Pelodiscus sinensis: one gene and its partners. The protein of the gene in region 3 interacts with the protein of the main gene of each other region in a biochemical or structural test. Links are inferred from orthologs where the notes say so. Each region holds a gene or a part of one and is shown on either strand. Other genes may lie near its edges.

Evidence for each region.
Region 1: the proteins of LCP2 (region 3) and ITK form a complex in vitro, tested with the Homo sapiens proteins (2 studies listed by BioGRID, with this or other methods). The link is inferred for Pelodiscus sinensis from reciprocal best matches to the Homo sapiens genes LCP2 and ITK.
Region 2: of the proteins of LCP2 (region 3) and ZAP70, one has a biochemical effect on the other in vitro, tested with the Homo sapiens proteins (2 studies listed by BioGRID). The link is inferred for Pelodiscus sinensis from reciprocal best matches to the Homo sapiens genes LCP2 and ZAP70.

The regions. Positions count from the first base shown.
Region 1 is NC_134727.1:39,218,093-39,226,231, reverse strand, and holds the start of ITK (tyrosine-protein kinase ITK/TSK), read right to left. Parts: upstream 3,418-8,139; 5' UTR 3,254-3,417; coding exon 3,116-3,253; intron 1-3,115. UniProt on the Homo sapiens protein: Tyrosine kinase that plays an essential role in regulation of the adaptive immune response. Regulates the development, function and differentiation of conventional T-cells and nonconventional NKT-cells.
Region 2 is NC_134729.1:26,548,271-26,556,720, reverse strand, and holds the start of ZAP70 (tyrosine-protein kinase ZAP-70), read right to left. Parts: upstream 3,662-8,450; 5' UTR 3,458-3,661; intron 1-3,457. UniProt on the Homo sapiens protein: Tyrosine kinase that plays an essential role in regulation of the adaptive immune response. Regulates motility, adhesion and cytokine expression of mature T-cells, as well as thymocyte development.
Region 3 is NC_134727.1:6,090,721-6,098,628, reverse strand, and holds the start of LCP2 (lymphocyte cytosolic protein 2), read right to left. Parts: upstream 3,688-7,908; 5' UTR 3,436-3,687; coding exon 3,358-3,435; intron 1-3,357. UniProt on the Homo sapiens protein: Adapter protein primarily involved in signaling pathways within T-cells, as well as other immune cells such as platelets, mast cells, and natural killer (NK) cells.

The DNA of each region.
Region 1 (8,139 bases), about 33 Mb from region 3:
GGCAGATCGGGAGAGTCTGGACGCGATGCCCCGACAAAGAAGCCTTTCTTCATCGACACAGGTAAACCTGGTTTCACGAGGCTTACCTGTGTCGATGAAGAAAGGCTTCTTTGTCGGGGCATCGCGTCCAGACTCTCCCGATCTGCCGACAAACAGCTGATCGGCAGATCGGGGCAGCCATTTAAATTTAAATGAAGCCGCGATTATTTTAATCGCGGCTTCATTTCCCTCTTCCGATCTGGCTAATCTACATGCCTCCGTCGATGGAGGCATGGAGTCTGGACACAGCCCAGGTGTGTGCAGTCCCACTGGAATCCGTGGGGCCACTTGTGCACTTACCACGTCTGCTCTCTGTGCTTTGCTTCAAGATCAGGCATGAGCTTCAACTCTTGGCTGGACCAGGACCAGGGTGCATGGTAAGGCCAGAGAAAGGAATGAACTAACACAGTCGATCTTTGGGCCAGGTTTGTAGAGATGTTAAATCTCTGCTCATATGCACCACCAGAGGGTTACAATGGACATCCAAAGAGACCCTCACATTGAGTTCAGAAGACTGGGAAACCATCATGTCAAGCCAGGGTGCTAAAGCCACATTTTCCTACCGCCGGTGAAAAGTAGTGGTGGTGTCGGCCCGGCCCTTGGAAGACTCAGGAGACAAGCGAAGACCAAAAGGGTGGGTAGCATGAGCCACCTTCTCAGCCCTAGAGCTTGTCCCACCAGATTGGAGACCAATGAGGCAATGCCGAAGCCTGCACAGAATTACCTGCTCTGACTGTCATAGATAAGCAAAAGAGTTCATACTTCAGGGCTAACTGGTCCTTATCTGCACTCCTATCTTCATTTTGCACCAGGGAGGTTTATTAATATAATGGACCTGCTAAGACGATTTACACTGGCACAAACCCAATGCTACACAGTGGAGTATCAGGTCCTACAGTTACTGGTATAGCTGTGTGCATGTTGTATATACCTGCCTCCAGGAGACAAACCTAGTGATAGACAATGGCCAACTGTGTCCAGTTCTTTACACCACATTTCAGGAAAGATGGAGAAATTTGAGAGGATCCAGAGAAGAGCAACAAAAATTATGAAAGATCTATGAGCTATGAGGGAGGACTGAAAGAATTGGGTTTGTTTAGAGAAAAGAGAAGACCGAGAGGGGACATGATAGCAATTTTCAAGTACCTAAAATGGTGTTACAAGGAGGAGAGAGAAAAATTGTTTCCCTTGGCCTCTGCTGATAGGACAAGAAGCAATGGGCTTAAACTGCAACAAGGGAGGTTGAGGTTGGACATAGCGAAAAAGTTCCTAACTGTCGGGGTGGTTAAACACTGGAATAAATTGCCTAGGGAGGTTGTGGAATCTCCATCGCTGGAGATAGTTAAGAGCAGGTTAGACAGACACCTGCCAGGGATGAGCTAGATGGTGCTTGGTCCTGTTGTGAGGGCAGGGGACTGGACTTGATGACCTCTCAAGGTCCCTTCCAGTTCTAGGGTTCTAACTCCTCAGCTAGTCTAACTCACTTACTTCAGGGGACAGTGTTATTGACTTAAATGAAGCTATGACAAGTTACTCCGCCGTTGCTCTGGTTCGGCACATTTACATTTGAGGTAAAAGAAGCACGTCCGCTGTGCATGCCAAATACGCTGCAATTATCTTGGCACACTCCGATGTTTGTAAATGGTACAAGGACATATTTTGACAAGTTTGCTTAGATATGTAGCTTGTTACGGCCCTATACGTCGTCCCATTTTTGCCTCATTAGGATTTAGGGCACAAGGGGGTATAATTTTCTAGAGCACTGAAGTGACTTTCACGCTGCTGTCCTGTTCAAAGTCCGTGGGTTTGATGTTCAAAGGTATTTAGGTGTCTCCAAATGCAGATAAATGCCGAATGGGGTTTTCAAAAGTGCCAAGCCAGGTTATGTGCCTGTTAAAGGGAGCTAGGCACCAAAGTAAAGCACATAGAGGGATTTTGAAGAACACCTATCTGCAACTTTTGGCAACTAAATGTCTTTGAAAATCAGACCCAGAGAGACTTAGGTTCCTAAATCAATTAGGCACTTGTGAAAATTGTTCCCATTCTTACTAGGCTACGTAGTTGTATTAACATCTTAACTCTTCAAATGACGACATTTGGACCACAGAATAGACACTCTCAGTCAAACTGAAAATATACATCTTGGATTGCAATAATATATTTTAAAAAATTTAAATATAGTATTTAAAATAAACCACATGCATTTTATGGTGCCTGAATGGATTCTTACAAATTCAAAAGAAACATGGCAGTGCAACTGGAGAGAAACAACACTTACAAGCAGCAATACACCCTTAAAGTCGTGTATTGATGTCCCTGTTTGTAGACCCTGGCAAACAAACTGAGTAAGGTTACAACGGGTGGCTCCAGCCAGTTGTGTGCTTCCATATGCACAAAAGGAGACACGATGGGAGTTTTGCTTTGATAAAAGCACCCATAAAAGGTTGCTAACACACATTAGCTTCTAATTCTTTTCATAGTTTCAGGGCTAGGCATCTGAGATGTGCTTAGTCTGAGTGCATCTGAATATCAGACCCCCTCCTACAGCCTACTCCCCGAAACAACTGACCCCGTTAGAACCTGACCTCGAGAGTTTTGATTAACAAACATGGAGTCCGTCATGCAGAGAACCATCCTTCTACTGGAGCTGAGTGTCTGCCCAGTTCCAATTTGTTTGGTCTGATTTTCTATATGCAATTAAAACGTATGGCGAGAATCCCTGTTACCCAACTTTATAACTTTGATCAAAACATGCCCCGAGCTACAGCACTATCCATTTGAATTGCCTAGTACACAGTCAGTTAGGCATCTTGGAGGGAGGCAGGTATTCAGACCGCGCTACGTTTCTTTGCTCAAACCAGGTTTGATCCTCCATTCCTTCGACACGCCAAACCGCCACTGACCTATGGGGAAGTTTTGGGTGGGCACAGAATGCCATGGAGGGCCCTCCACCAGTAGCTAGTTTAAGTAGATGTTGGGCGCATGGGATTTCACAGCATACACTGTTCCCCCCTCCCGTTCAATACTCTCGACTCACGAGCCTGCAAAAAAACGAGAGAGAAAATGGCTCACGTACCCCATGGCGATGCTCAAAATAAGCCAGCTTGGATTTGGTTAAAACGAAGAAGCGCACTTTGAAGTTGGAGGGAGAGGTCCGTCTCTTCTGCTGGGATTTTTTGATCAGCTGCTCTTCCAGGAGAACACAATTATTCATGGTTCGGCAGGGCACGGCGCTCCTCCCGGACCCCGCACGCCGGTCCCAGACCCGCACTCCAAGCACAAGTCCAGAAAAGAGAAACAAGAAAGAGGGCAGTTGATTTTTTCAACAAAAAAAAGGTGTTTGAAAGGCAGCGTAGGTGCACAAAGCCTTATCTTTCCGTCTGTCATCTAGGCAGCACTGTAGCGCTTCCTTTCTGTCAAAACCGTAACCACATCCTCTCCCAAGTCATCAAGTGAACAGCACATGCTGAAAAATACTCTACGGCGAATGTTGTGGAAAAAATGAAAATGTGATGGGCGCTCTTGACAAATGTGATTTTTCTGTAAAGGCTCGGGGATTAATTAAAAGTTGTGGCATGATTACATAATGGCCCACTCAACCCGCTCTTAGCAAATATAGGGATGTCTGCTCAGGGTGGACTCGGATATAACGAAACAGCATCTTTTTCGTGCTTTGGGGAGGATTTCATACATCCACGTTCCTTGTACAGACGGGTGGTATGGTCTGTGTTACCTCCAGCCTATCTCTCACCTCATGCACTGTACTTAGTGTCATTTGTTTGACGTACAGGTTGAACCTCTGAAATCCGGCACTCTCTGGTCCAGTGCCCGAGAGCCTTCACTAGGCCATGAGCCAGGAGTACAACCCAGGCCAGCCCGGCAGGGAACGCAGCCCCATCCGAGGCTGGGAGCAGAGCCCAGTGATCGGGGCTAGCATTCCAGAGGGTCTGATGGCTGGGAAGGGAGCCTTGACCTCCCTAGTCCGGAAAACTCCCTGGTTCGGAACCTGAGGGTGCCGGACCAAGGAAGTCCAACCTATATTTCAAAGACACGTAGCATGTAACTACAAAGACTCTGACGTGTAGGCATTGACAAATTGCAGATCCGAGCAATTAAAAGCTGGTGTATAAATGAAGTTACATTCATTATATGTGTTATGAGATGCCATACCAATGAAGTTTATTTATATCTTTTCAATATTGTCATTAATGATTATTCATACTAATAACACGGAGCTCTTTTGTAGTGCGTTTTGTCAGTAGATGGCAAAGCGCTTTGGGGAAACTGAGGCAGGGGGCGTCGCAATGACATAACTGCTTACTAATTGCTGAATGTTCCAGATGTGGCCGGGTGGAAGGCAGTCTGTGGGTGAATGTTCCAAGAAAGTGTAGGCAGAATATACATGCTCTAGGTGTATCAAAGTCCATGTAATCTGTGGCAAAGGTACACCTAAATGCTATATCAAGAGCTGTTCATTTCTGTAGCACTGCACTGTGGCTGGACTGGAAAATCGGTGGCAGTTTGAGGTGAATTTAAAGAAAAAGTGAAAGGTTTTGTTACATTAATGTGGAAGTGACTAATACAATCAGTACAACATCCACTGTTTTATTTGACATTAATTGCAATTAATTTTACTCTGCCTCTGAATTTAACTCTGAATTAGGGCTGTGGGATAAGCACTGTGCTGGTTGCTCTTGGCCATTATTTGCCTGTAGATCATTTGAGCAATGCTCACTTTTAAAATGGCACCATTAGGTTCCAGAGTTAATACCAAATTGTGATGAATGGGGAAAGTTCATACCTCTCTTTGAGCTATTCTTTTAGGGTATGTCTACACTATCCTCCTAGTTCGAACTAGGGAGGCTAATGGAGGCATTCGAAGTTGCAAATGAAGCCCAGGATTTAAATGTCCCGGGCTTTATTTGCATCTTCCCGTCTGGGCGCCATTTTTAAATCTCATTAGTCCAAACTAACTGCCTGCGGCTACACGCAGCAGTCAAACGTTAACTCGAACTAACTCCTTAGTTCGAGTTAACGTTAAGTCCTTAGTTCGAATTAATGTTTGACTGCCGTGTGTAGCCGCGGGCAGTTAGTTCGGACTAAGGGGATTTAAAAATGGCACCCAGATGGGAAGATGCAAATAAAGCCCAGGATATTTAAATCCAGGGCTTCATTTGCAACTTCGAATGCCTACATTAGCCTCCCTAGTTCGAACTGGGGCGGTAGTGTAGACATACCCTTAGGCTGTCTGCAAACTCCAGAGGCAATGTTATTTAATGTATGTGCAGAATCAGCACTGATATAAAGGGTGAATTTCATGTCAGGCGCCGAGACAGAAATCAAGGGCCAAATGTTCAGTTTGATTTGCAACGTGGTGCATCTCACACAACTGCACCCCTGCTTTATAGGTGTAAATACCTGCCTGCGTGTTACAGAGTTGTAATGCTTATGCAAAGGCAAGGGTTCAAACTGCTTATTTTGGTGTTTGTGCCTGCAGAGTATATGCCCATAATGTATCATACACCCATATGTAGCAGAGTCTGAAATGTACCCCCAAGGTTTTCTGTCATTTAGGTGTAACGCCGACAGCTGGAACCGAAACTGGGACCTCTGGAGCTTAGAGTATGACCCTCTACAGCAGGCGTGGCAATAATGTTCGTAAGGGGGCCACTTAATGCATGGTCATGGGCTGGCTCCACCCCCAGATGGGGCGGGGCCTGAGGTGGAGGGGGCGGGGCTGGGGACTAGCCCCCAGAGTTATCTGGGCTGGGGGCATTGAATTAAAAACACAGCAAAGGGCTTGTGGCTCTATCCTCTGCCGAGGTAGCACCCCAAGTGGGAGCCGGGAGCCATTTAAATAGGATCCTGCTGCCTGAGCTGCCTCCTGGACGTTTGGTGGCCCAGGCAGCAGGAGATAAATAGAAAGCAGCCAGATGCAGCCCACGGCCGGATTGAAGTGTGAGGTGGGCTGGATTTGGCCTCCAGGCCGCATCTTGTCCAGCCCTGTTCTACAGCCTGAGCTAAAAACCGGCTGACTCTCAGCTAAGGCTGTAGAGAACTAGGACTGGCGGACATGACCGCTTGGGAACTGTTACTGGCTTTGGGCCGGGTTCTGTTCTCATGGGTGTTTTAGCTCCAGTAACCTCACTGGACCGTCTCCTGATTTCCACAGGCAGCCTAAGATCAGAACCAGGCCTCCCATGCCCGGAGGTGCCATAACGCGGCTAGCTCTGATTACTTATTGGCCTCGTTTCGAATTTGTTTCCGGCCAGGCCCCACCACATACGAGATGCGGTCCTGACAGGCCGGGAGGAACATCCATGAGGCGCATCATGCTCTGACTGCAGAGAGAGAAGAGCGAGAAGTAGAAATCTGGCTTCCTTTGAAAAATGACTGTGAGGGACAGCTAGAGGCACGGTTGTCAGTGGCCAAAGTGGATCTTCAAGAAGGACTCCCATGTGGGCGGGGCAGGGGCCTGGAAGAGAAGGCCCACCTCGGCCGGCAGAAGAAGAGGCGAGAAGCTGATAAACAGGCAGCTGAGGGGAATAACACCGGAGGAGCGGGGAGGATGTGGGGGGCGAAGTGACGAGGGTGGTAGATGGGGAGGGCAGACGTGTTTTCAAAGCTTGATTCTGGTGCGATAAGAGCTGGGGCGTCAGTGAGCGATTGGAAGAGAGGGGCGATGAGATCATGTCTGCAGGCAGGCTGGCAGCCGCAGCTTGCATGGTGTAAATAGGCCGGCTTTGGATGGCCCAAAGAGGGAGATAGTGCCAGACCCAAGGGGGTTGAGGGAAGGTCCGAAGTGGGGGCTTGGCTAAGGGTATGGGAGGGAAAATAATGGAGACGCTGAGGAGGAGGAGATGCCAGATTTGGATACGGCCTGGATCTGGAGGAAAGGGAGGCAAAATGAACCCCAAGAGTCATAGAACCCTGGACGTGGTAGGGATCTCGCGTCCAGTCCCCTGCTCTCCCGGCAGGACCAAGCACTGTCTAGATCAGTGGTCACCAACCAGTCGATCGGGATCTACTGGTAGATCTTGGAGCTCAGACAGGGGATCCTGACTGGTTTGGCTTTCAAGCGTTGTCACGTCACTTACGCCTCCCCACGCGGTCACGGTGCCCTCTGTCTTGGAGCTGCCCCCCCGGCAGCCTCCCGCTTGGTGTGGAGAGAGAAGGGGGGGGCGCTGGTGTCAGGATGTCCCTCCTCCCTCCACTCCTGTACCCTATCTCCACACAGTCAGACGGGGATGGAGGGAGCTTGACGATGCAAATCTGTCACTCTCACACCCTGTGTGCGTCTGTCGTTCTCACACACGCACACCATCCTTCCCTCTCCTCTCCCGGCCCAACACACAGGCGGGGGGTTGTTACTGCTCGCAAAGGGGGATAGTTTCGGTGTTTGACTGGTCGGTGCATTTCATCATTTTCATTTCTCTCTCACACGCCGGTGTAATTCTTGGAGCAGCGAGTTCTCAAATGCCGAACCTGCCCTGGCTGGAGTCCCTATCCCCGTGGGAACAGCTGCTCCTGGACGGGGCTGGCATGTGGAGCAGGGGGTCTCCGCATGGTGGCCTGGCCTGCGGACACCGCCCTTGCAGCTCCCGTTGGTCCGTAATGGGGAACCGGGGCCAGTAGAAGCTGTGGGCTCCGTGCCTGTAGATGGGGGCAGCGCATGGCTCCATGGAGTCACTGCTGCACGTGCCAGCTGCTTTGGGGAGCAGTGCAGGGCCGGGGCGGGAGTGAGCCGCCTTAGCCCTGCTGCTCCACCACGTGGAAGCCGTCTCAGTGAAACGGTGCCCAGCCAGAGCCTGCTTCCTGAACCCCTGCCCCCAGCCCCTGCCCCTGAACCCCCTCCTGCCCCCAACCTCCTGCCCCAGACGTGAGTCCCCCTGCACCCAAACTGCTTCCCAGAGCTTGCCCCCTGGATCCCCTCCTGGGCCCCAATCCCCCACCCTGGGCTAAGCCGGGAGCCCCCCCCCATACTCCAAACCCCTTGGCCAGGGTGGGCCCGAGCCATTCTTGCGCCCCGGGCGTGCGGCACCTCATTGGTGTGTACAGGGCGCCGCGCCCCCAGGCATGCATGGCCCCGCCCTGGGCGGC
Region 2 (8,450 bases), on a different chromosome or scaffold from region 3:
TGGGAGGCTCTGGGGGGTAGATGCGGGGATGCTGAGGGGTAGGCAGCCACAAGTGGGGCTGCAGAGAACTAAGGGCCGGCTGGGGCTGTGGAGGGAGGAGAACAGACTCTTGCTCAAGCTCTAGAGCAGGAGGGACCTGGCTGAGACAGAGCAGGGCTGGGGGGCTCTGCCCTCACTCCCCACCCCTTGCCTATGATGAGTGGCCACTGCAGGTTGCCTAGATGCCTGGCAGCGGGTCGCTGAGGCAAGGGGGGTGCAGGGGCGTGATGAAGTGGGGATTATGTTCGCTCTGTTCTGTTGCATGGTGGTTTCTACTGTCCTATGTGTGTGTGCCTCGGTTTCCCTGAGCACTGCATCGCTATCTAGATGGGGATGGGAATTCCAGGTGTGGCTCACTGCCCAGCCTGGCACCATCAGTGGTCCAGGCTCACTGTAACATTCACCTGGGGGGGGGGCAGGTGACACCTTTTGCTTGGGGAGCCGCACAGAGGAGGGGGCGGGGCTGCCTGCAGGCTGGGGCCGGTTGCTGGGTGTGGGGGTGAGTCTCGGCTGGCTTAGGATGCGGGGGGGGGGCTGGGACCCCCCCAAGCTGGGCTGCACTGGCTGCGTCTGGTCCCTGCGCTGACAAGTCTGAGCTGCGCTGTGTCCCTGAGAACTAAGAAACCTGAGAGCCCCATCTGGCCGCGGCTGGGGGGGCAGGGCCCGGGGACTCCCCACCCCTCGGTGACAGGGGGATAGGGGGTCCCTGCGGGGTGACTCTGGGGGGGGTCAGTGCCCCGAGGGGGGGCGCCGTGGTCTGGGAGGGATGCGGCTCCTACTGTCAGGTGGCAGAACCCGGCCGGAGGGGCGCTCCAGCGCTGAGGGTGCCAATTCCCAGCGTGACCAGCAGGAGGCGCCATGGCTGCGCGGGCGCCCGGGTTCCACGCACTGCGCGGTGAAAGGCCCGTTGTGCTGGCCAAGGCAGACGTCTCTCGGGCATGTAGCCGGCCCCGTCGCTGGAGGAGCCAAGCACCTCCCGAGCTCTCTCAGCAGCCCTGGAGGGCAATGCAGGGCTGTTCTCTCCTACTGTGCCTCGGGCCGCTCAGGGCAGAGCAGGGAATTGGACCTTGGCTTCCTGAAACCCAGGCTGCTGCTCTAACCACTGGCCCTCCCTCCCCTAGGAGCTGTCCTTCCGAGGGAGCCGCTCGATCCCCTTTTCTCCTGCTGGGAGAAGACGCCACGTGAACCTCGTTCACCCCGCCCCCCTCCCGCTTGCGTTCCAGACTGACCTCGCTTGGACCTGGGCGTGCGCCATCGGGCAGCAGCGAAGCCCGAAGCCCCAAGCGCCGTGCAGCAGAGTCTGGTCTAAACACACCCTGCCACTGACAGGCCACGAGCGAGAGCGTTCCACGGAGCCGCCGTGGCCTTTTGCTCTGTTACAAACCCCTCCCGTCCCCCCATCTTCAGAACTCTGCAGCGCTGCCCTTAGGCCGTGAGGTTACCCTGCCCGCTTGGTACGTCTAGACCCTGTCAAACGGGAGCTTGACCAGAGCCTGCAAATGAACGAAGGAGCCATGAGGAACGGGGGAGACGGGCACCCGGGGAACAAAGCGACGTGCCGCCGAGGTCGCTGGACGGGCCGCGGGTCGCAGTCTGGCTCGCGCTCCGTGAGGGCAGCGGGGTTAGCAGCGGCACTCCCCCGTCGGTGATTCCGCACCCGCCTCACCGACTCTGGCCGCTGCCCTGCCCCTCGCTGCCATAGGGCTTCACCCGGCGGGGCAGCAGCAAGTCCCAGCGTCCCTCCTCTCTCCCCAGGAAACGGCTCAGCTCTGCCCTCCGAGGTGCAAAATGGTTCTGGCTCCAGGGCCTGGCCAGGCCTTGGGCTCTCCGCTTCCTGCGCGACTGGCCCGGCTCGGGGGGCCCTTGCTAAGAGATTTGTTGCCCTGCTGGAGCCAAGTCGACCTTTCCAGACCTTGGCTGCCCGAGGGCTGCCTGGCGTACCCAGCGCAAAGCCTGACCTAGAGCCCCAGGGCAGGCAGAGACCCCAAGCAGGACCAGCCCCAACTCCATCAGCCCGGCCAGGGCTGTGTCCAGCCGGGACTTAAACACCCCTAGGGACAGAGATTCCCCCCCTCCCAGGGAAATAGTTTTTCCTAATATCCAATCTAGCCCCCCCCCCACTGCACCTTGAGCCCATTGCTCCTTCTTCTGCCACCTGCCCCCACTGAGACCAGCCTCTCTCCATCCGCTTTGGACCCCCCCTTCAGGGAGCTGCAGGCTGCTCTCAAATCCCCCCTCACTCTTCTCTTCTGCAGACTGAACAAGCCCAAATCCCTCAGTCTCATGACTCTTAACCTGTGTCCCAGGCACATCCAGTTTCCAGGCTAACTCCCCAGTGGGCCAACTGCTCGTAACAGGTCCCAGGCCCGTTCCATTGGTGCGCAGAGGCAGCAGCGGAGAGAGGCAGCCTATAGGGTCCCAAGGTCCTGAAAAAGCCAAGCCCATCGGCTGGACACGCTAAGACGGAACTCGACCGCGGCTTCGAGCCTGTTTGCTCCGACGTTCCGGATTGCTCACTTGCGAGGCCAAAGCATGAACACAATGCCAGTGGGCCACAGAGGAGCCTCCCCCGGGGGAGAAAGGCGACTGAACTGACAACACACACAAATCAGGCAGAGGTGGCAAATATTCGAGCTCACCTAACCCCTGCTCCCGGCCAAGACAGAGCCCTTCCCTCTGCGCTTCTCTCCCGTTCTTTGTCCTGATCTGCTTACAGCTGACCCACGCGGTGGGGTCTCCAGAGCCTCCCTCGGGGGCTTTGTCCACCCTCTGACAGATCTGGCCATTAAAAAAGGCTCCAATTTCCTTTGCTCCACTTTGTTCTATAGCCCCCCGGACCATGCCCAGACTGACAGGGCTTTGCAGTGGTGCCCGTGTTTGCCAGACAAGTGCAGGGCAAGATGACATGGATGACAAAGGAACAAAGGGGAATGGTGAAAATTTGCCAACAGCCTGTCTTGTGGGGCGTCTTGGGCGCTGAGACTTGGCCCTGATCCGCTCTGTACTTGACGGGGTTCGTAAATGTCAGGGAAGCTTAACCACGCTCTCCTTCCCATGTGGCTAACAGGGGCCAGGGGTGCTGGCTACATCCCCCCTGGCCACGGGTGCTGGGAGAGAGGTTCTGGAGGTGGCTCCGGGGGTGGAAAAGTTTGAGCCGCCCTGGCGAACAGGATGTCAGACCATTTAACCACCATCATGAGTCTAACTGCCCCCAGCTTTCTTCTGCTCTGGTCTTCCGTTCCGCTCATGAAATCCAGAGTAACCCTGGGCAAAACTGGGCCCACAACTGGATTTAGACTCAGGCCTTGCGCTGTGGCCATCAGCAGGCCCCCGGCGCGCTCAGGATGCATAGAAAGAAGAAGAGAAGGGACGCCAGCAGCGGCATGAAGGACCGAGCGAGTCCCGCACGGCAGCTTACCTGGGCTTGCAGACGGGGCGAAGGGCTCGGCTGGTCCCTTACATCAAAGGCATGGTGAGAGGGACCGATATTCCCGGGCATGCATGTGCCGTGGCGCTTTTGGAAGCGAGCAGGAGGGAAACGGGCCACGTCCTGTCCCCTGTGCTGACTGACATTGACAAACCCCCGCGTACGGGCTGTTTGAAATGTGACCTATTTCCTTGTTGCAAAGACAGGAAAGCAAAGACGAGAGAAAAACTCTGCAGCTCTGAAGGGGGCAAAAGTTCTCAGAACCCGCCTGATCTGGTTGCATAGCTGCCTGTTGGGCGGTGGGACAACCTCAAATGAGGGAGGTAAAGAAACTCGGTTCTCCTAAGCAAGTGCAGGGCTGGGGGAGTGGGGCCTTGGCTTTTGGTCCAGTGCACCTCGGGAGACACGCCATGAGCTGCACGCGGATGTTGGAGTCCGTCCGCTTCCTCGGCCTCCTGCCATTAGAGCTGCCTGGGCACAATACAGCCTGTAGGCCAGATCCGGCCTGCCCCGCCATCGGATCCAGCCCATGGACTCTGCCCCAGGCAGGCTCCTGCTTGCCTCGCCCCACCCGCACGCGCTCCAAACCGCCGCTCTGGGCGGTTTTTCTTTAAAAACTGAGAGTCTGGAGGGGAGGGGGAAGCTTTAGCAGCTGCTACCATCCCCAGCACAATGCCATTATCCGGTGTCTGGCCAGAAACCAGCCAAGGGGAGTGGCCTGTTTCAATAACAGGCAGCCACGAAGCACAAGGGGCTCCAGAGCACATGGCTGCAGCCTGTGGGGGCGGGGCAGGTGGCAGTGGTCCCTCTAAACTGCTTCAGAGGGGATTAATCAGCCCTGCCCAGCCAGAGGCTCAGGGCTAACTGGGGGAGGCTGATGAATCACCCATGAAGCTGGGCTGCTCCCGCAGATTAGAGGGAACACTGGCTGGCAGGGAGGCTGATTTCAGGAATGGGCTGCTGGCTGGTAAGTCTCGTGGCCAGACTCTGCCTCTGGCACCCCAGGCCCTCCCTTCCCCAACCCCCAGCCCCCCACTCCTGGCCTCTACTCCACATACCCAAATCCTCTGCCCCCCTCCTGCACTCATATCCCCTGCTCCAGATCACAGTCCCTAGCTCACAACCCAACTCCCTGCATCCCCTCCTGTACCCCAATTCCCTGCCCTAGGTCACAATCCAGCCCCCAGTCCCCCAGTCCAGTGCCCCAGGCCACAACTGCCCCCTTCACCCAAACTCCCTCCCTTACCCCAAGCTCCCTTCTGCACCCGACCTCCATCCCAGACCCCGCACCTCCTCCATTCATATCATGGAAGGGTGCAGCCCTCGGCCACTGTCCACATTCTTGGAGGGCCCCCTGTCAAAAATTATTGCCCCCCCCCCCCGCCCTAGAGGGAAGCACAGCTCTGAATGGCTCTCACAAGAGGGCAGTGGTCACATAGTCCCTCCCTCCGTGTGCAAACCTGCCTGGGCCTTCCTGGCACCAGCGTGGTCGGCCTCCTCCCGGGTGTGGTTTCTGCCTGTTTAAAGGGCAGGGGTTGAGATTCACTGAACCTGGAGGGAGGTATCACAACCTCCCTGCCCTTCTCAGACAGGTGCAAGCTGGATCCCAGCTAGATTTGGAGGGTGATTCTGGGGGGTGTCCCCTGTGAAGACAGGGTGCAGGCAGGGCTGGATGGAGGCATGGGCGAGCCGCGCAGCTGCCCAGGGCGCCAACCGATGGGGGGTGCCTGATGGCAGCTGTAAGGGGCGTGCGGCGTCCCGCGCGCCCAACTCCCGCAGTGATGGCCCGCCCACATCTCCGCGGTGCCGGCCAGCAACGCTCTTCCCCTCTATGGCCGCAGGGCCCTACATGGCCCAGTGCATGCGCCAGCAGCAACAACTGGGCCAGACTGGGCCGCGCTTGCACTGTGCACCCTAGGGGCAGGCCCTGGGCTGTGCACCAGCGGGTGTAGCCGGGCCGCGCATGTGCCATGGGCCCCAGGGACAGGCCCGGGCTGCACGTCAGCAGCTGTAACCAGGCCACGCATGCGCCGTGCGCCCCAGGGGGTGAGCCTGCGCTACCTAGGGAGGTGGGCCCGCTCCCCAAGGGCGAGCTCGCGCATACGCTGTGAGCCCCAGGGGCAGCGCCGTGCGCCCATGCCCGGGGTGCCAGAATACCTCGGGCCGTCCCTTGGTGCAGGTGTGGGAAACATCAAGGCATAGCAGTCGGAGGGTTAATCCACTGAGGCTACGTCTACACAGCAGCATTATTCCAAAATACCAGAGTCCGCGTCTGCACCGCAAGCCGTTATTTCGACATGATGTCGAGCTGGACGACTTCTCACTCCGACTCCCGTAACCCTCACTGTGCGAGGAGGAAGGGAAGTTGGCAGAAGAGGGCGCTAACTCGGACTTCCTGCTCTGTAGACAGCACCAAAAGCCGAAATGAGCTATTTGGACTTAGCTGAAGTTTTGTGGCTGATTCCAGCTTTAGCCCTGCTGTTTAGACGTGCCCAGAGAGGTTTGTAACGTGTTTTCAGATCCTCGGCCGAGCGAAAGGTGAAATAGAAGATAAAGCATCTGATGAACCGATTGCCCCTGAATGTTGTTCCCCTTCCCCTCACGGGGTTCTATTGACAGCTTCCAATCTGGGATTTCTTGTCTTACGTTTCATTCTGCAGCAGTATGAGATTGTTCCCACTCATCTATATTAACGGTTTAACGTTGCACACAGGACAGCCACGCTGCATGCCCTCCCCACTCGGAACGTCCTACCCCAGATCTCTCCGCTTCCAAGCCAAATTGCACTTAAGCTAACGGGAAGCCTAAATGGGAAGCCAGGGAAATATCATGGTAGTAGAGGACAAGGGCTCTCAACCTTTGCAGGCTACAGTACCCCACGTAGGAGTCCAATTTGTCTTGCATACCTCCCCCGTTACACCTCACTTCAGAACTACTTGCTTACAACATCACACATAAAAATGCAAATGTGCCACAGCATGCTGTTACTGAAACATTGCTCACTTCTTTATTTTTACCATATAATTATTTTAAAAATCAATTGGACTTCTATACATTTTGTACTTACATTTCAGTTAGGGGATGTCTACACTGCAGCCTATTTCGGAATAGGGCTGCAAATGTAGGTATTCGGAATTGCAAATCAAGCCTGGGATTTAAATATCCTGTGCTTGATTTGCATCTTCCCGGCCAGGCGCCGTTTTTGAAATTTACAAGCCCAGAACAACTGCCCGTGTCTACATGCAGCAGTGAAACGGGTGTTTGAAATAAAGCCCTAGTTTGAACTACCTGTTAAACCTCATTGCAGGAGGAATAACAGGTAGTTCAAACTAGGGCTTTATTTCGAACACCCGTTTCACTGCCGCGTGTAGACGCGGGCAGCTATTCCAGGCTAGTAAATTTCAAAAAATGGTGCCCAGACGGAAAGATGCAAATCAGCCATGGGATATTTAAATCCCATGGCTCGATTTGCAATTCCGAATGCCTACATTTGCAGCTCTATTCCGAAATAGGCTGCAAGTGTAGACATACCCTTAGGCTATGTCTACACTGGCCCCTTTTCCGGAAGGGGCATGTTAATTTCAGCGATCGTAATAGGGAAATGCGTGGGGGATTTAAATATCCCCCGCGGCATTTAAATAAAAATGTCCACCGCTTTTTTCCGGCTTTTAGAAAAGCCGGAAAAGAGCGTCTACACTGGCCCCGATCCTCCGGAAAAAGCGCCCTTTTCCGGAGGATCTTATTCCACTTTGAAGTAGGAATAAGATCCTCCGGAAAAGAGCGCTTTTTCCGGAGGATCGGGGCCAGTGTAGACACTCTTTTCCGGCTTTTCTAAAAGCCGGAAAAAAGCGGCGGACATTTTTATTTAAATGCCGCGGGGGATATTTAAATCCCCCGCGCATTTCCCTATTACGATCGCTGAAATTAACATGCCCCTTCCGGAAAAGGGGCCAGTGTAGACGTAGCCTTTAGAGTGTAAAAAAGTCATGCTCTGTATGAAATTTTCATTCGTGCTAGCTTGGAGAGTGCTTCTTATGTAGCCTGTAGGCCAGTGGTCACCAACCAGTCGATCGGGATTTACCAATCGATCTTGGAGCCTCTGACAGGGGATCTGACTGGTTTGGCTGAGAGGCTGTCAAGCACTAGCACTTCAGCTGCCCCTACCCGCACTGCCATGCTGCTCCTGCCCAGAGCCTCAGAGCTGCCCCTAGGAGCCTCTTGCTTGTGGTACAGGGTGGGGGAGACAGAGGCAGGGGGCACTGATGTCTCTCTGTCCCCCTCTCCTGTCCCCCATCTTCACAGAGTGAGGCAGGCGGGGCCTCTGTGAAGGGGTGGAGCAGGGGTATTTGGGTTTGAGGTAGATCTTGGGCTGACTTAAATTCAAAAAGTGATCTTGTGCTTAAAAGGGTTGGAGACCCCTGCTGTAGGCAAATACCTAGGCGAGTTGATGTGCCCTCTGGAAGATGTCTGCATACCCCCAAGGGGTGCGTGTATGTGGGGGAGCCTGCACTACCCTGCCGTGGCAGTACATGGTGATGTCTGCTTTGTCCACAGTGCAGATTTCTGGCCTGTTTCAAGCCTGGGGCGCCGAAGCACACAGGCACGGGGAGCTCTGAGAGTCAGGAAGTGTTTGGAATAGCAAAGCAGATTAAGTATCAGAGGGGTCGCCGTGTTAGTCTGAATGTGCAAAAGCAACGAGGAGTCCCGTAGCACCCTAACATGCGTGTGAACAAGTGGGTCGTTGCCCACGAAAGCTTATGCGCCAATACTTCCGTTAGTCTAGAAGGTGCCACAGGACTCCTCGCCAAAGCAGATTACGCGTGTGTCACGTGATTGGGTTTTAAAGTGAGTGGACAGGTCACGGCTGCACCCACGGGGGGGTGCCCCCAATTTGGTACAAAGTGTCCATGTGAGGTGTCAAAGGGAGGCGTACGCTCTGCTGATTCGATGTGTGACACGCCTGTGCTTGGGTGACGTCTGTCTG
Region 3 (7,908 bases):
CGACATCCCGGTAACCCTCGTTCCATGAGAGTTAAGGGGAATTTCGGAATAGCGAGTTGTTTTGAAATGGAGGGGCCATGTAGATAGCTTATTTCATAATTTGGCGCTATTTCAAAATGGCATCGAAATAAGCTACAATTTGTGCAGTGCACCCCAACAGACTTACTGTGTGACTTTGGGCAAGATACTCTGTCTCAGTCCCCCTTTCTGTAGAAGGGAGTGTCACGTCTCTCTACCTTCCAGGGTTATTGAGGATGAATATGCTAAAGAGTATGAGGTTCTCCGATATTACAGTAGCGGGGGGCATATATAAGTATGATAGATAATATCAGGAAGCCATTTCACCTCACTTGGTTGTTTCCTCTTAATGGTGATCTAAAACCCTGTGCACCAGTTAAGATATGTGCTTTCCTGATTAGTCTGCTGAATTTGGATTTAAATTTAGTTCTCAGTAATGATAAGATCTGTCTAATTTAAGATATCTCAAGATCTTGGTTTCCTTCTACTACACAGCTAGGCAGGAACAAAACAGTTGGAACTAGAACACTGCAAAGTTGGTGGTTTCACTTCTCAGGCCCACCAGCGAACGTTTGCTTTGGTTTTGATCTGTGTGCCTTTGCTACCCATGAACTCCACTTTGCATTTTGGTTTTGAACTTGTCCCAGCTCCCCCAAACGAAACCCAGTGAAAGCGATTGAAACCATGAATTTTGCATGGTTTCAATACCAAATAATAAACTGTCCCCGGTTGATCATATCCACTTGAAACTGGGTTGCTGAAATGGTGCGAAAGTCTTCACAAACCTTTTGGATTGACCTTTCTGCACTGTAATGAAGGTTTTGGAATTTGTTGTGAACATGCACTATAGTCAGCATGGTAACACAAGTAAGTGTAGATGACTATTAAAATCTGGGGGAAATGATGGAAAATGAATGTACAACTGAATATATTTAAGATGCTGTAAAAATGGACCAAACTCAACATTTACCTATAGCCTATGCAGTTTTCCTAGCATCAGTGAGATACCAGGGAGCAAATCAGCACTGAGTTTTGCCTATTCTTTTAGAATCATAGAATCCCAGGGTTGCAAGAGACCTCAGGAGGTCATTGAGTCCAGCCCCCTGCCCAAAGTAAGACCAATCCCAACTCAATCATCCTAGCCAGGGCTTTGTCAAACCAGAACTTAAAAACCTCTAGGGATGGAGATTCCACCACCTCAGTAGGTAGCCTATTCCAGTATTTCACCATCTTCCTAGGGAAATAGTTCTTCCTAAGATCCAACCTAGACCTCCCCCACTGCAACTTGACACTGTTGCTCGTTGTTCTGTCATCTGTCACCACTGAGAACAGCCTCTCTCCAGCCTCTTTGGACCCACTCCCTTCAGGTAGTTGAAGGCTGCTATCAAATCAGGGCTGGCCCACAACATTTTGGCACTTGAGACGGGGAGCTCAAATAACACCTCCTTGTCCCCTCGCGTGGGCCAAAACTTTGAAAGGTCTCAATTCTGCCTTCTTCCTGTTCTACTTCTCTCATGGGACTGCTCTGCTATCTACATATGCATCGGCAGCAGAGACAATTTTCTACACTCTGGGTCCTAGTGACACCCCCTTCTACACTCTGAGTCCTAGTGGCACCGCCCTCCCCACACACACACAGTCTGGAACCTGAGGCGGCCGCCTCAGTTTGCCTCATGATAAGGCCAGCCCTGTATCAAATTCCCCCCATTCTTCTTTTCTGTAGATTAAATAAACCCAAATCCCTCAGCCTCTCCTCATAGGTCATGTGCTCCAGCCCCAGAATCCCTTTTGTTGCCTCCACTGGACTCTCTCCAATGCATCCACATCCTTTCTGTAGTGGGGCCCAGAACTGAACACAATACTCCAGATGTGGCTTCACCAGTGTGGAATAAAGGGGAATAATCACTTCTCTAGCTCTGCTGGCAATGCTCCTACAAATGCACCCCAATACGCCATTTTAAATGCCCCTCCACACCTCGGCGTGCAAAATCCTCTGCTCTGCAAAGTGAAAGTTAAAAGAACCAGCAATATCCAGGCTAGTGCATTTGAGGAAAAGCTATAGATAGAGAAGGGGGGAAGTGTCAGAAGCCCAACCACCTCAGCAGAACAGAACAGATGAGGAAATGAGATGAGGGATCTTTCTGAGATGTGGAGGAAGGTCAGTGGGGATCCTGAGGCAGGAAGAGGCAGTGGGTAGCAGAATCTCTTTTTATTGAAACCTGCCTCTCCAAAGAATTATGATTATCGCTATGGATATTATTATTGGTAAAGGCTTTCAATTTCAAAGACAAAATATCAACACAGGCAATCTACAAATAAAAGCAGCTGCATTGAGCTCGGGAAGGGATAATATTCTATGTATTCTATTTATTTTGGAGGAAAGAATGTTTCTCATTTCTCCCCCTATGCTACAAAGGAATCATTTTCCTTAGGCACAGTTCCTGTCCTCCTCACCCAACTACAACATCACAAGGAAGTGTTCTGCATTGTTTGTGTGAGCTCAACCAGACAAAATCGCTTCCAGGTCTCATTTTCCAGCTAGCATGGGAGTCTTAGTTCATCACCTCACTTCAAAAGGACGGCTGTCCATGACTCAGATCAACTCTCCTTGAATCTGGGCACCCAACTCCCTTCTAAAAACCCCAGTCCAGATGCCAACAAACTCTTTTGTGTGTCCACCTAACCAGGTTCAGCAGCTCTTTTGCTCTGACATCCTTGTTCAAAAGATTGGAACGTCTGGAGCGACCCGTAGATTGAGAATGTCACCTCTGCTAAACACTATCGATTTTAAACCAAGCCCTGTCACATAACAAGCCTTTGTAATGCTAATTAGGAAAGCAATTCAGTCCAGAGCAGAGTTCATGTGTGCATCTTCATTAGTGAGGGTCTTTAATTATGAAAGTCATAGGAATAATTTCATTGGAGAGGCCTTATGAGATCTGCATATAAAACTTTCCTACCTTAAAAAATAGGTTTACTATGTTTAGCTTCCTTAACTCTTAACTTTTACGGATCCAAACTGAATGTAACATAGCAAGGCATTGGTACCAAAGATTATAGCATTTTTTTTTCCCAAGAAACAATTGATTTCTCTTGCTATTAATTTAGAATACATTTTTCAGGATTCATTAAGGACTTCATTAAACCAGGGCAGGTATAATGACTTTCTGAAGTGCATCTGCCATGATTATTCAAAAAAGATGATTTTATATGATGTATGTAGCAAATTCGGCTCTTAGGGTAAAAAGTTTTTTGTGGGGGGAAGAGGGAGCAAGAGCACAGAAGTGTTAAAGCACCTTGCTACTCCTCCATACTAGGACAAAACACAACACAACTTACTTTCTTGAAGTAGTCTGCCAGGTCATCTGGGCTCCAAGCAATCACCATTGAGCGATAGGGAAGGTTTTGTAAATCCATTTCTGTTCTTCTTTCCTAATCAGCTACAGAATTTTCATGCCAGGAGTATTAATGAGAGAGCCATAGATTTCCAGCCTGTGGCTACCTCCAGTAAATTCAACAATCCACTTGCCTAATAAATGCCCCAGGCTTTTGTTAAACCGTCTTGCTTTTTATTTCTGAGTTATGGTGCAACAATATCCAAGAGAGCAACTGCTTCCTCTAAGTACAAAATGGTCTCTTCTCAGAAAACTTGTCAGCGATTCAGTCTCACCACTTCCTTTATCTGAATCTAAATAAGTAAACAAGGAAGCACAGCAACACATTTGAAGTATGCTGCCTACTGAATATAACTGTAATCCTTATGAGCTCTAGTTTGCATGCTTTAATCTGGGGAGCGTGTTGGGTTTTTTTCATGAGATGTCCATACCAGTAGACTGGTACATTGGCTGTGGAGAATTATGTGGGAATGTACACATGTGCATCTATATTCCCACCACCAGAAAAGGCTGTGGGGGTTGGATTCAGTTTGTGCCATCCCTTGAAAACCAAGAAAATGCCTAGTTAAGGGAACCTTCTTTAGCACAACTCAAGGCCTCAAATGTCACATTGATTCCCTCTCTCCCGTACACGTATATCATATGAACATATTACAATGCACACATCAGAATCCTTGTTCTGATTCTCAGGTCTAATTTTAGCAATTGGGGGAGGGATAGCTCAGAGGTTTGAGCATTGACCTGCTAAACCCAGGGTTGTGAGGTCAATCCCTGAGGGGGCCATTTCAGGGTCTGGGGCAAGTCTGTCAGGGATGGCACTTGGTCCTGCCATGAGGGCTGAGCACTGGACTCAATTTGATGACCTCCCAAGGTCTCTTCTAGCTCTATGACATAGGTATATCTCCATATAATTAGCAGTGTGGCATTCTCATATGCTTACTCCAGCTTGCTGGGGGGGGACAGACAAAGGGAGCAGTTGCCCTGGGGGGGCTGGTGATTTAAAAAGGCCTCTGAGGCTCCCTGCCATTGCAATGCTCCAGGCCCTTTTAAATGGCTGCCGGCATCCCAAACCATGCAGTCTGGGCAGCGCAAAAAGGGCCGATGGAGGGAGACTAACTACCAGTCTGCACCTCCCACCCAAGGCCCTACCCTGCCCATTCCTGGAGATGCCTGTGTTGAGCCCCTACTCCCTTTTCCAGGGGACTGGCATTTCTGTCCTCAGCTCTGTATTTATGACCCGTATATGGCATAAGGTTTGCACAGGATGTCTCTCCTGGGGACAGTTGGAGGACAGTGCAAAGGTTTTCCATTACTGTGTGTGTAGGAACTCTAGGAACTCAACTTAGGGTTGCCAGGTGTCTGGTATTCTACCGGATAGTCCAGTATTTGCACTCTTTGTCCAGTAAACAACATCAGGGAATACCGGGCATGTGCAACGTCCGGTATACTCTGAATTTTCCGGATGTGCACTGGACGGAAACCTGGCATGGGCAGGGGGTTGGCTAGAAGGCGGGGCCACGATTGGCGCTGGGAGCCTGTGATTGCACAGAAGCCTGACAGGGGCGGGGGGAATGGCTGGGAGTCCCAGCCCCTCCCCGTCCTCCACAAGGCTTCTGTGCAATCACAGGCTTCCAGCGCCAATCGTGGCCCCGCCTCCCAGCCTGGAAGTCCCAGCTAGGAGGCAGGGTTGTGATTGCCTCTCTGGGTGCCCCAGAACGGGAGGAGGGAGGGCTTATTATCCCTTGTTCCTCTTTTTTTTTTTTTTTTTTTTTGCTCGACCAAAAAATACCACTTGTCCGGTATTTTTTGGGAGACCATCTGGCAACCTTAACTCAAATTTAGTTATGGAGGTTGTGAGGGGGCATCTGCCTGCACTGGTTATTTAAGGGCTAAAACCCAGCCCTGGAAGAGGGCTGGAGCTGTGGAGCAAGCAGCGGAAGCATATGGCAGCCAATTCGGGCCCAGCTGGGGCTGTATAAATAAGGGCTCCTGGAGGGAGGACACAGAGACACTCTTGCTCCAGCTGGGGAGAAGGAGGGACCTGGCTGCAAGGGAAGCTGGGGGCTTCCTGAGACAGAGCAGGGCTGGGAAGAGGCAGGCAGAGCTGGGGAGCTCTGGCCGAACCTCACTCGCAAGCCACAGGGCCTGAGACAAGGCCTGAAGATACTAGGGCTGTAGTTAGTGCAGGGCTGGGGAAAGGCAAGCAAGGTGGGGAGCTCTGGCCAGGCAAGCTTCCAGGTGGCAGAGCCTGTAGCAAGGCCTGAGTGTACTAGGGCTGCAGAGAAGCAGGTAAGCAGAAAAGGGCAGGCAAAGGCAGCAGGTCCACACCCCCCTTGCCAATTATCAGACTGCAGCTTGCCCCTGAGGTAAGGGGCTAGATGAAGACTGGCAGTGAGTCACTGAGGGAAGGAGGGCATAGGGGGTTGAGGTTCCCGGGGGGAGGACCTCAAAGTGCAGAGACACAGGGAGACACTGGCCAGAAGGGGGCCCCAGAGTGCAGAGACATGGGGAGACACCAGCCAGAAGGGGGCACTCCAGCATCAAAAAGCTAATTCCCAGAGGGTATCCCAGCCGTTATTTCGAAATAACTGTATTACCGTCTACACGAGCCAACTGCTATTTTGAAATTAATTCAAAATAGCGGAGGGCTTATTTTGAACTTGGTAAACCTCATTCTACTAGGAATAGCGTCAATTTCAAAATTGCTATTTCGAAATAAGCGCTGTGTGGACACGGAAAAGGGGCTATTTCAAAATAGGGGGCTTCCAGCCCTTCCCAGAGTCGCTGCTGGCCACTCTGGCCCCAACCAGGAAAACTCCTCTCCTCCCCTTCTCCCTGGAGCCCTTAAAGGGGTAGAGTCTGGCCACAGTGCCTGTGCTAGCTCCTGGCCTGCCAGCCCAGAGCCAGTATTTGCTGCCCCTGACCCAGTGGCCCAAACATGAGCCAGCAAGCAACTGGCAGCCATCTCTTCACCACTCCTCAGGACCAGTCTGCCAGCTCTCAGGAGCCTGCCAGGGGCCTGAAAAGGTGGGCGCCTTCCTGGTCCAGTGCGGAGATCATGGACCTGACTGAGGTTTGAGGGGATGCCTCCAACCTCCATGATCTCTGCACTAGATGGAGGAACACGGCCGTCTACAGCCGGATGGCTGCCAGCCTGGCCACCAAAGGCCACATCCAAACCCAGGATCGGGTCTGGATGAAAATTAAGGCGCTGCGGCAGGCATATGCCAGGGCCACAGGGGGCAGTTCCCCTTCCTCCCCTTGTCTCCCCCTTCCAACTCCCTCCTCCCACATTTCCCCCTCCCCTTCTCGCTTCTCCTCTCCCACCTTCTTTGCCCAGTCTCACCTGAGTTTCATGCCCCCCACCCCAGTTTTGTTCAATAAAGAGAGTTTGTTTTCTTGAATACATGTGTCTTTTACTGTACAGCAGGAAGGTGGGTTAAGGACGGGTCCATGGAAGGACATGAGAGAGGAATGAGGCTCAAGCCCACAGTGGGGCACACCAGGGAGTCTTTTAGTGCTCATTCAGGTAGAAGCTCTCCCGCAGGGCCTCCCAGATACAGACAGCCTCCTGATGGGCCTCCCAGATGGCAGCCATGTGGGGCTGCATGTACAGGCTGGCCAAGTGATCGGCCTCTGCCATCCAGGCTGGAAGGAAAGCCTCCCCCTTTCCCTTGCACAAATTATGCAGCACACAGCACGCTGCCACCACATGCAGAATATTCCACTCTGAGAGGTCCAGGAGGGTGAGGAGGCATCTAAAATGGGCCTTCAGCTGGCCAAAGGCACCCTCCACTATGATACGGGCCCTGCTGAGCCTGGCATTAAATGCCTGTCGGGAAGGGTTCAGGTGTCCCATGTAGGGCTTCATAAGCCAGGACTGTAGGGAATAGGCCACATCCCCCACCAGGCAGACAGGCATGTCCACATCTCCGACCCTGATGTGGTGGTCAGGGAAGAAAGTTCCGGTGTGTGGCCTCTGGCACACAGAGGAGTTGAGGTAGACCCACGCATCATGTGCTCTGCCGGACCAGCCCACATCAGTGTCCATAAAGTGGCCCAGGTGGTCAGAGACAGCCTGCAGGATAACGGAAATGTATCCCTTCTGGCTGATGTAGAGGGAGGCCTGGTGTTCCGGGGCATGGATGGGGATGTGTGTCCCATCAACAGCCCCCCTGCAGTTGGGGAAGCCCAGGGCGCCAAACCTCTCGATGACCGTGTCAGCATCGGCAAGGTGGATGACTCTGCGGAGCAGCCTTGACCACACGCAGAAGGACACACAAAAACGGGAGTCACTGAGGTGCCAGGCTGGATGAGAGTGCTCCTTCCCCTTCAAAAGCGAAAATGGCGATCGGGGCTTTTTTTGCGCAAAACCGCGTCTAGATTGGCCATGGACGCTTTTCCGCAAAAAGTGCTTTTGCGGAAAAGGGTCCTTGCCAATCTAGACACTCTTTTCCAAAAATGCTTTTAACGGAAAACTTTTCCGTTAAAAGCA